3 linked regions of the Oryctolagus cuniculus genome follow. The protein of the gene in region 2 purifies or fractionates together with the protein of the main gene of each other region. This does not show direct contact. Links are inferred from orthologs where the notes say so. Each region holds a gene or a part of one and is shown on either strand. Other genes may lie near its edges. The genes, in order: CLTC, CLTA and CLTCL1.

Region 1 (3,647 bases), on a different chromosome or scaffold from region 2:
ATTTGGGAACAATATCTAGCTCTGGCTCCTGAGTCCAGCTTCCCACTAAGGTAAACCTAGGAAACAGTAGTGATAGCTCAAACAATTGGGGTCCTGGCTACTGTGGGCTTATGGAGAATAAACAGTTTAGAATTCTCTAATAAATAATAAGTAAATAAAGACTGGGAAGAATGTATGAACAGGAAACCCACTTGCTGGATGTGAGCATTGTTTGGCCCATTGATGAACTCTTCTAACTCCGCGAGACGGTTAGTTTTGGCCAGTGCAAATATCAACTCCGTCTCCACATAAGACTCTCGGGCCTTTTTACGGGCCATCTGCAAGTACTTCACCAGCTCTTCCCAGTTTCCTAAGTACAGAAAAAGAAAAAATAAATCCGAACACTAGCATCCTAGCATATTTTATCACCCAAGTAAATGAGAATTGCTCTAAATTGCCTTTTAAAGGAAACATTACAGAGAATAACAAATGTGAACCATGCAATGCATCTAAAATTTCAAATATGCTATTAAATATCTGTATTATCACTGACCAAATAAACAACTGAATTGCTTTTTCATTTACGGTTGTAAGATGAGAACTTGTAGACTACAAAACAGAAAATTAATCTTCGTCACATATCTTTAAGTTCATGAAATGCAGCCTGTCTTTAGCTGGACTAAGATGGAAGGATGTAAGTTTTTCAGAATTCAATTCCTAGTTGAAAGGAAATGCTTAGCATGATCATTTTCTGAGGTCTCAAGCACATCAAGGTAACAAGTCATACCACTAGTATTGGCAGCCTGAACGACTTCCATGTATGATGAAGGATCATCAGCTTTAATGTAAGAATCAATGGCTTCTTTCACCATTCCTTTCTGCAACTGGGCTTTTGCAAGTTGACTCCAGACCGCAGGTTCATTGCAGCGTTCAGCAAACTCATATGCCCGGTCCAAGTTTCCAATATGTTCAATCAAGACCTAGGCAATCCATTTTTAAATTATATTTACAGTAAAACGGGTCTTAACCAAAGCAATTACATTTAGGCTGTTAGCACTGTATTGCCTTTCTACTCCACAGTAATTAGTTAAGCCCAACCTCATAGGTCAATGCATGCTCTGAATAAAAACAAGGCATTACATTAATTCAATTTACATAGAATCTGAAGATATACCTGCACTGCTGAAGTATTGACATCAAATTTCCGGAAAATAGCAAATGCTTCTTCAAAGAGCTCATTGCTGATGGCAATATTGGCAATATCTGGAGCATCATAATTATCCAGGCGGTTAATATACTCCATAACACGTGTACGGTCAGCCTTAATTGCAGTGAGAATGAGGAGATTTTGCAAATTCCTTTAAGAAAGAAAGACATTCAGCTTCTTCTCTAAGAGAATATCAAATGGCAGAAGACAAGGGTGCAGTAGGAGGGTCCAGAGGCTCTGGAATGGGAGCTGCAAAGCTCATAGAGGCAAGGCCGAGGACACTGAGTGCCTCCCTGTTACCAAGCTGGGCTGCCTGGTAAAAGACATGAAGATCAAGTCCCTGGAGGCCATCTATGTATTTCTCTTGCTCACAAAGAATTTGAGATCACCGAGTTTTCCCCAGGCCATCCCTCAAGGATGAAGTTTTAAAGATTATGCTAGGGCAGGGCCAACACTGTGGCGTAGTGGGTAGAGCCCCCGCCTGCAATGCCAGCATCCCATATGGGTGCCAGTTCGAGTCCCAGCTGCTCCACTTCTGATCCAGCTCTCTGCTATGGCCTGGGAAAGGAGTAGAAGATGGCCCAAGTCCTTGGGAGACCCAGAAGAACATCCAGGCTCCTGGCTTCAGATTGGCGCAGCTCCAGCCACTGCAGCCATCTGGGAAGTGAACCAGCGGATGGAAGACCACTCTCTCTCTCTCTCTGCCTTTCTGTAACTCTTTCAAGTAAACAAATGAAATCTTAAAAAAAAAAAAAAATTATGCCAGGGCAAAAGCAGATACACACTGACCAGTAGATCAGGTTCAAGGTATTTGTTGCCACTGTGTACAACAATGGCCAGGTCAGCTGGGGTGTCAAGTGTCCCAAAGAGGTAGCCAATGTCATTCAAAGAACCATCATCCTGGCCAAGGTCTCCACTGTGCCAGTGCAAAGAAGCTAATAGGGAAACAGGTGAGCAAGACCCATACCATGCCTTGCCAGGTGATTGAACGCTAAGGCTCTGTGCTGTTATGTGTTATTGCTGCCCCAGAGACACTGACATCATCTGGGCCCCCGCCCCCAAGATGCTGCTGCTGATGGCTGCCATTGATGACTCCTACACCTCAGCCAGAGGCTGCAATGCTATCATGGGCAACTTTGCCAAGACCACCTTTGATGACATCTCCAAGACCTACAACTTGTTGACCCCCCTGCCTCTAGAAACACATTGTATTCACCAAATCTCCCCATCAGGAATTCATGGACCATCTTGTAAAGACTCACACCACAGTGACTGTGCAGAGGATCCAGGCTCTAGCTGATGCTACAACATAGGGTTTTACACAAGAAAAAGGAGAGTGAACTAAGGAAAGGAAAGGATGCATGATAAAGAGGGAAGAAAAGGGTAGAGGAGAGGGAGGAAGACGTTTAAAAGCAGTATTTAGAAAACTTATTTGTAGTAAAGAATAACCATTATGACTATAGTGGGGTGAGAAGGGAATATTACAAGAGAGCAAATTTAAGCAACCTTCTCTAATCTTGGTCTCTGTTCCTTTCCCAAACTGACAGATCATAATTAAAGGGTGAACATAATAGCAATGGATCTTCTGATTGCATACCTGTGTTCACTGAATACAGAGTTATCAAGGACAATTTTCTCCAGCAGTTCAATGAGTTCATTAGGAAGGTCTGCAGTCATGAAAGCCTTAACAGTTACTGACACTTCTTCAGGGTCTTGAGTTTCTGACAAAGCTGTCTGCACAACCTACCGAGCATATATAAGGAATAAGTACTAAAACTCAAGACAGTCTTAAAAAACATTACCTAATAAGAATAACTTGGCCTCTTACTGGAAAGCTTGAAACATGTAGTAAAGAATGAAATAGGAAAAACACATTTAAACTCACCACAGTACATGAATGTACATTATATGTAATTCTACTCTGCTGAAAAAAATCACTCTAACTGTAACTTTTTGTCTTTTCCCTAATTCATACATTATCTATACTAACATTCATCATCATCATCACTTTAATGGCTGCATATAATTCAGCTTCATAGGTATGGTATTTTAAAGTCAGTAATTGCTCTATTCCTGGCTATTTGCATAGTTCTCAGATGCTATAATAAATATCACTTCCAGGAAGCTTTTGATCTACTTTGGAATGTTCCTTGGAAATGGATCCTATGAAAGGAATGAATAATTAATAGCTTTTAATCTGTGCTTTTCCCAAATATTTTACTTATATCTTTATCAAGAGAATTTAACAATTATAACAACTCTCAAGTTTTAGGAATTTAAAAATATTTTGGGGCCGGCGCCATGGCTCACTTGGCTAATCCATCCCATACAGGCGCTGAGTTCTAGTCCCGGTTGCTCCTCTTCCAGTCCAGCTCTCTGCTGTGGCCCAGGAAGGGTAGTGGAGGATGGCCCAAGTGCTTGGGTGCCTGCACTGCATGGGAGACCAGGAGGAAGCACCTGG
Region 2 (4,235 bases):
TGCCTGTGGTGCCAGCATCCCACGTGGGTGCCAGTTCGAGTCCCAGCTGCTCCACTTCCGATCCAGTTCTCTGCTATGGCCTGGGAAAGCAGCAGAAGATGGCCTGGGTGCTTGGGCCCCTGCACCCACCTGGGAGACCCAGAGGAAGCTCCTGGCTCCTGGCTTTGGATTGGAACAGCTCTGGCCGTTGTGGCCATCTGGGGAGTGAACCAGCAGATGGATGACCTCTCTCTCTGCTCTCTGTAACCCTGCCTTTCAATAAATAAATCAAGAAATGTCTTTTTTTAAAAAATAAATAATTTTTAGGTAAATAGCTCTCTGTCAAAACACAGGTATTTATTTTTTTTAAAATCACCTTCTTGTCCCTTGCTGACTTCACTCTGGAGGCATCTCTGACCTCTAGTTGGTTTCTTTCTATTTTTGGCTTTTACTTTTTAGGGTGGTGGTGGTGTGGAGGATCTTTCTGTTGGCCACTCTTCAACATGAGCATGATGAACTGGGATCACTGTTGTTTCTACGGTGTTGACATTAGTCATGTTAGCAACCTGTCTCTGATGTAAAAGAAACGCTGAAAGAGCTTTCCTTCTAAAGAAAGCTCCTGCTGTCCTTAGCTGAGAAAGGTCCATACCAGAGGGTGTGGCTGGTACCCTCAGGGAAGTCCCCAAGAGACCTGGGTTTCCTCCTGGCCACTGGCTCCCTCCCAAACACCCAGGCCACAGTGTCCCCAAGAAGCAGGCCACCCTAAGGGATTTTCCAGTTTAGGAAAACGTCTGTCTTGCTCTGAAATGGTGCACTGGTTGCACAATGCTTTGCCAAGGATTTGTTCGTCTTTTAGTGAATACTTATGGAGGAGATCAATTGATCAGAGTGAATCAATTACATTTAAGTCAAGTCTGCCGTAAAGGAGCAAATTATGAATGAATTAAATATTTAAAAAAGATTTTTTTAAAAAGCCAGCAGCATAGATCCTAAAAAGGATTCCCTTTTCCGATAATCCCGGGAAGGAGGCAGCGCAGGATCCGTGTTCCATTTTACAAACGAGGAAACTGAGGTTCAGAAAACCTAAGTGGCTTATCTCTTCTGTGGCTGGCCAACTGCGGCCGGCCGAACGACCCCTCACCTTCCGGCGCAGCACTCCAGTCCCCTCAGAAGCGGCTGTTCCCGGACAGTCCAGCTCCCGAGGGCCGCGAGGAGTACGCCGCTTTCCGTCAGTCGGCACTTCCGCCTCCCTGGCCCGGGGGCTCACCTCCTTCACCTCCGAATCACGAGTTGTCGGCGGCGGCCCGCCCCTCCGACTGCTGATTGGGTAGCTCCGAAACCACTTTTGCCCTCTGATTGGCTGTTCTGTTTTCGGCTCTCCCACACCGCCAAGACCAACCGGATATAGGGGCAGGGCTTCCGCTTCCACCTCCTCCCTCCTCCCGCTGTGTTCCGATCGCAGTCGCCACCACAGCGGCCGCTGCCGGGCGCGGTGTCGGTGTGTCGGTTGGTTTATCTTTCAGTGTTGGTGCCGTTGAATTGCCCGCCATGGCTGAGCTAGATCCGTTCGGCACTCCCGCCGGTGCTCCTGGCGGTCCAGCGCTGGGGAACGGGCTGGCCGGAGCGGGCGAAGAAGATCCGGCCGCGGCCTTCTTGGCGCAGCAGGAGAGCGAGATTGCGGGCATCGAGAACGACGAGGCCTTCGCCATCCTGGACGGCGGCGCCCCCGGGCCTCAGCCGCACGGCGAGCCGCCGGGGGGTCCGGGTGAGAGGGCGGGCGCGTTTGCGGCGGGAGGACTTGCCGGGGAAACTCGGCCCGGAGTTGGGTCCGAGCACTTCCGTACGACTCGTGTTTCTTGCCAGGAGGCTGGGGCGGAGTGCAAAGAGGAAACGAGACCCCGGCCCAGTCATGCAGGAGCCTGGGCTCGGGAAGTCCGCTCCGTTCCGAGTGTGCGTGTGTGTGTGTGTGTGTGAGAGAGAGAGAGAGAGAGAGAGAGAGTGTGTGTGTGCTAGCGCTGCTGGGCGCCGGCCGAGCGAGAACGCAGAGAAAATCAAGTGACTGGGAGGCTTGCAGCCCCGGAGAAGCCCGTTCAATTCAGCAACTTTTAATTAAGCACTTGCTGTGCCTTAAGCCTGGTTTCTGAAGCCGCATTGGCGTACTCTCGCCAGACTCCCAGGCAAGTCTGAGCCCAGCACGGAACCTGTTATCAGGAAATGAGGGCAGGAAACCTAAGAATAGTAGTGTCTTTTTTGGAAACAAACAAGAATGGCAGTGCAGTTCAGCATTTAAGTACATAGGGCGTTGGGTTACGGGGAGGAAGGGAGGAGTGAGTAGGGAACCGAAGAAAGCAGGGCGAGAAAGCATGGAGAAAGAAACTCCGGTCAGGACTTCCGAGCTCCTCGGCTTCTGGGAGCAGCTTCGGTAGTTATTGCCTAAACAGAGCCCACGATTAAACCTGCACCAGCCAGGGAGGGAAGCAGAGGTGAACAGGCGACTGCTGTGTGGCCTCCACTCCCCCCCACCCCACCTCCCGGCCGAACAAATAAGAGTTGGGTGGGATGACAATTTGACCTTCGACTGCCTTAACCTGTGAAGTGCCTAGGATTGTGGTGTAGAAGCAGAGGGTGAATTGAAAAAAAAACAAACAAACTATTTAGTAGTATGGGGAAGAAGGAAATGAGTGGAGATGAGATATGGCTTTACCTTTCCTTGAAAAAATATTCCAGTAAAGGAGAGTAGGGCACTGTTGGCAAATGGGAGTGTTTCTGCTACCCGAAACCGAGACCTCTGAGGTCAGGCAGTCACCTAAAGAAGCAGGTGGGTGTGGGGCAGCCAGGGGCAAGCAGGTTGGCCTGAAGTGGGTTGTGACTGTGAGATAAAGTTGGCTTCCAGTGTTTGGGGGGGTATTTTGTCATTGCCTGAGAGTTTAAAATCGACCTTTGGCTTGCCTCCTCACTTACTAGAAAACTAAATCCTAGTGAAAAGTGACTTGCTTAAAAAAGGGCATCAGCTGGGCCCCAAGTCTCCCTCCCTTTAGATGGGACCGCCCCCTTACAGTGTTTTAGCTGGGGTGTGCTGGGGTCAGAGAGAGGCAGTTGTGGCTATAGGACCGAGCAGAGAGAAGCAGCACCCCTAGGAGACTCTCCTAGTTGAGGGACAGTGTAACTCTATTCCATCCCCATCACCCAGCCTGTTCCTGACACTGCTCGTGTACATAAAAACTGGCAAAGTGTTAGCTCCAAGAGTCCTATGTAAGCCAGCAGGAGTTGGTGCTGGGCAGTTTGGGAAGGTAAAAGGAGAGAATGCGGTCGGATATGTGAGTCTTGTACATCAGGCCTTCAGGAAAGGGAAGGAAGGGGTTGACTGCTGACTTAGTTCCTGGGAAGAACTTTATTAGGGAACTAAGCATTTAGTGACTTAAAGCCCTGACCATGCATTGAGATTGGTAAGAGTGCAGGGGTCAGCACTTCCTTTGGGAATTAGAGCAGGAGTTGGGCACTTTCTGTCTTTCAGAAACACTCTAGTGGTTACAGGTTTTGTACTTTCCACTGCTGCTTGAATGAGTTTAGGTTTGTTGTCTTAGGCAGTTTTTATGTAGTTAACCACTACATTTTCTGCATAATGTGTAGCACATTGCACTTATAGGATTACATTAAAGCATAGAGAGTGCTTGCTGGCATGTAGTAAGCATCCCTTGGCTTCTAGGTACTATTGCTCCCTGGGGGTAGGAGGAGAAAGCAGTTTGAGGCCTGTAGGCTTGGGGGTGTACTGAGGAAACCGAGTGATTATAGGTGGGAGGTCTCTGTCATGTGTCCTGTAGAAGATACATGGGCAATCGGCTGTAACAGATTGAGGAGAGAGGAAAATAGCTAAGCTTGCCCAGCCTTGGGGGAAAAGCTCCCATGGAGGATGGGCCTAGGTAGAAACCAGAGGAGTTAGGCCTGAGCCCTGGTTCACTCTTGAAATTAGGAGATTCAGAGAAGGAAATGTTGGGAAGCCAGAGATCAGCAGCTCAGTGAAGTGGCATGAGCAATATTGAGGAAGAACGTGTGGTCCGGAGGGAGGCAACCCAAGTCCAGCTGAGGTGGGAGAATGAGGCGGAGCAGGGAGCTGTAGAAAGAGCATATCACTGTGGTGCTGTCTGTTATGTTTCTGACAAGTGCTTAGGGAAGGAAAAAGAAGAGAAGTAGGTGAATTAGTCTTGCTGGAAGAGGGTAATTTTACTGGTAGCAGTGCTAGAGAGTTGTTTAGAGAG
Region 3 (3,647 bases), on a different chromosome or scaffold from region 2:
CAAAGGCCTGGAACTCCATCCAGGTCTCCCACTTGGGTGGCAGGGGCCCAAGCATTGAGCCATCTTCCACTGATTTCCCAGGTGCATTAGCAGGGAACTGGATTGAAAGCAGAGTGGCCAGGACTCAAACCAGTTCTCCAAGATGGGAGGCGCACGTCACAGGCAGTGGCTTAACCCACTGCGCCACAGCACCTGTCCCATCCAGTTTTAACCCTTGATGACATTTTGTATTTTAGTGTTTTTAAATTACACAGTTACTGTTTACATTAATAATGCTCATGAATTACATGAATTTTGATGACCTAGGAATATGCAATGGAAGAAAACAGTTGTTGAGTTTCTAAAAGGGGTTCTATTTCAGGACCTATTTCAGTAGGAAAAATGGAGACTTTGCTCTGGGTGAAAATGTGTCTTGGATCTGTTTCAGATTGTGGACATTTTCATGGAAAACAGCTTAATTCAGCAGTGTACTTCCTTCTTGCTGGATGCCTTGAAGAACAATCAGCCAGCTGAGGGGCATCTGCAGACGCGGCTGTTGGAGATGAACCTGATTCACGCACCCCAGGCAAGTGACACTTGTAGGCCCACGCCGAGGGGCAGAGCACCCGGGGCACCTCTGTGCAGTGGGCCTGGGTGCAGATGGCTGTGTGCTGGGTTGCACTCCTGCCAGAGGTTTGTTTGTTTCATTATGGTGATATAGACGTCACAGTTTACCTATTTAACAGTTTTAAGTATATATTCAGTGGCATCAAGAACACCCCCATGATTATGCGACCATTACTGCTATACGTTTCCCAGACAAGAACTGTGTAACATTTGAGCAAGAATTCCCTGTTCCCTCCTGCCCCAAGCCCCTGGCCACCACAGCTGTGCTGCTCTTGGTCTCTGTGAATTTGCCTGTCCCAGGTACTTCCCATAAATGAAATCGTAAAATGTTTATCCTTGTATCGTTTTTTCACTTAACATATTTTTTAAAGATTTATTTATTTATTTGAAAGGCAGAGTTACAGAGAGAGAGATCTTCCATCTGCTAGTTCACTCCCCAATTGGCCACAACGGCTGTAGCTGTGCCGATACAAAGCCAGAAGCCAGGAGCTTCCTCCCAATCTTCCCATGCAGGTGCAGGGGTCCAAGGACTTGGGCCATCTTCTACTGCTTTCCCAGGCCAAGCAGAGAGCTGGATCAGAAATGGAGCAGCTGGGACTTGAACTGGTACCCGTATGGGATGCTGGCACTAAAGATGGCGGCTTTACCCACTACGCCACAGCATTGACCCCTTATTTTCCTTTTTTAAAAAATAAGAGGCATTTTTGGGCTGGCGCTGTGGTGTAGCAGGTAAAGCCACTGCCTGCAGTGGGGAGGGTCCTGGCTTCTGGCTCTGATCAGCGCAGCTCTGGCCATTGTGGCCAGTTGGGGAGTGAGCCAGTGGGTGGAACACACCTCTTTCTCTCTGCTTCTTCTCTCTCTGTGTAACTCTTTGAAATAATAAAATAAATCTTATTTTATTTATTTGAAAGGCAGTTACAGAGAGGTAGAGGCAGAGAGAGAGAGAGGTCTTCTATCTGTTGGTTCACTTCCCAAATGGCCCCAACAGCCAGAACTGTGCCGATCCATAGCCAGGATCCAGGAGCTTCTTCTGGGTCTTTCACGTGGGTGCAGGAGCCCAAGGACTTGGGCCGTCTTCTGCTGCTTTCCCAGGCCACAGCAGAGAGCTGGATCGGAAGTGGAGCAGCCGGGACTCGAACCAGTGCCCATATACAATGCTGGCAATGCAGGCAGTGGCTTTACCTGCTAGACCACAACACTGGCCCCTTTGATTTTTTTTGAAAGATTTTTTATTTACTTGAAAGGCAGAGTTAGAGAGAGATCTTCCATCCTCTGATTCACTCCCCAAATGGCCACAATGGCCAGAGCTGGCTGGTCTGAAGCCAGGAGCTTCCTCTAGGCCTCCCACATGGGTGTAGGGACCCAAGGACTTGGGCCATCCTCCCTTGCTCTCCCAGGCACATTAGCAGGGAAGTGGATCGGAGGTGGAACAGCCAGGACTCGAACCGTTGCCTACATAGGATGCCAGTATCATAGGCAGTGGCTTAACCCTCTGCTGCACAGCACTGGTCCATATATATATATATATATATATGTATGTATATATATGTGTGTATATATATATATGTATGTGTGTGTGTATATATATATGTGTGTATATATATATATATATATAAATACACACACTCATACATGCCAGTTTTTAGCAAATGAAGTTTGAAACCAAAGCGAAGAGGACTCAGGAACTCCACAGACAGACCCTAGGGAATGCCAGTGCCACAGGCGGGCAGCCTGTCCGGCAGGCAGCTAGACACAGTGCCTGGGTTGTTGGGGTTGTCCTCTCTGGATGAGAGGCACTGGAGATGCCCTCTGCCTTTGCTTTTCTGTGTTTTCTGAGTTCTCTAAAACACACCATGGCTCTGATAAGGAACAGGTGTTTGGAAGGGAGATGAATGAGGACCTATGGAAGGAAGCCAAGGTCAAGGGCACAGACAAGTGCTGTTTGTGCCCCAGCTTTTCTCTCAGGACTTGGTGTGCATCGTGTGCTCCGTGGGGAGCCCAGGATATGTGCAGCCCTGGTACAGTGTGGTGCAGGCTGCATCTGAGGTTGCTGTGTATGTGACTGGTCCCACACTGGGCTGCTGTTCTCCCAGCCTGGAAGACATAGGAAACAGTGTGCTGGACGGCAGGTAGGGGCTATGCCTCCTCCAGGCTGGCTCCTGGGTGCTGGGTGGAGGTGCTGGGTCTTATTATTCAAGGGTCAGAGAAACAGAGCTCCCATCCACTGGCTCCACTCCTTCACCAGCCAAGTAACTGCAATGGAACAGGACTGGACTGGGCTGATGTCAGGAACTGGAACTCATCCCCTGTTGCCTCCCAGGGTCTACATTAGCAGAAATCTGGAATCAGGAGCTAGAGAAAGGACTCAAATCCAGGCACTCCATTGTGGGATGCGGGCATCTTAATCAAACACCTGTTTTATTAAATGCAACCCCAAGTCCCTAAGTCTACCCTTAGGGAAGTCTGCTAAGCACAAGTGAGATTTGTTACTTCCAGACCTCACTGTCCCTAGTCTGAGTTTTGAGCTCCTCAGAGGAGGGTCTGACTCACACGTCAGTCTTACCGTAGAGAACCTTGCAGGAAAACAATCACCAGAAAGTCCCAAGAGCGACCAGGTCCATCCCAATCGTGGTGCCGTCTGGAGCCTTGGCCTCCCTCACACACGCAGTGCTCCGGCAACACATGAAGGGCCTCAGGTGCCTGGAAGGGAGCCAGGGCTCTGCTTGGGACCTGCCAGCGCTACTGCCACTGCCGCCCCTGGATTTGTGGACGTGGGCAGGAGCCCATGAGCGCTGGTTCCTGAGCTGTCCCTCACACTGGGGACATGGCTGAACGGTGGCTCTGCGGAGGTGACGGCCACAAAGCAGGCTTTCTTATGCTCTCACTGTTTTTGTAGGTTGCAGATGCCATCCTTGGAAATCAGATGTTTACGCATTATGATCGGGCCCACATTGGCCAGCTGTGTGAGAAGGCAGGCCTCCTGCAGCGGGCTCTGGAGCACTACACCGACCTCTATGACATCAAGAGGGCCGTGGTCCACA

The links.
Region 1: the proteins of CLTA (region 2) and CLTC purify together in Homo sapiens (co-immunoprecipitation; 6 studies listed by BioGRID and IntAct, with this or other methods). This does not show direct contact. The link is inferred for Oryctolagus cuniculus from reciprocal best matches to the Homo sapiens genes CLTA and CLTC.
Region 3: the proteins of CLTA (region 2) and CLTCL1 purify together in Homo sapiens (co-immunoprecipitation; 3 studies listed by BioGRID and IntAct, with this or other methods). This does not show direct contact. The link is inferred for Oryctolagus cuniculus from reciprocal best matches to the Homo sapiens genes CLTA and CLTCL1.

What each region holds. Positions count from the first base shown.
Region 1 is NC_091448.1:34,977,335-34,980,981, reverse strand, and holds part of CLTC (clathrin heavy chain 1), read right to left. Parts: intron 2,930-3,647; coding exon 2,784-2,929; intron 1,338-2,783; coding exon 1,154-1,337; intron 960-1,153; coding exon 767-959; intron 350-766; coding exon 192-349; intron 1-191. UniProt on the Homo sapiens protein: Clathrin is the major protein of the polyhedral coat of coated pits and vesicles. Two different adapter protein complexes link the clathrin lattice either to the plasma membrane or to the trans-Golgi network.
Region 2 is NC_091432.1:199,050,288-199,054,522, forward strand, and holds the start of CLTA (clathrin light chain A), read left to right. Parts: upstream 1-1,384; 5' UTR 1,385-1,527; coding exon 1,528-1,744; intron 1,745-4,235. UniProt on the Homo sapiens protein: Clathrin is the major protein of the polyhedral coat of coated pits and vesicles.
Region 3 is NC_091452.1:27,014,743-27,018,389, reverse strand, and holds part of CLTCL1 (clathrin heavy chain 2), read left to right. Parts: intron 1-427; coding exon 428-565; intron 566-3,502; coding exon 3,503-3,647. UniProt on the Homo sapiens protein: Clathrin is the major protein of the polyhedral coat of coated pits and vesicles. Two different adapter protein complexes link the clathrin lattice either to the plasma membrane or to the trans-Golgi network.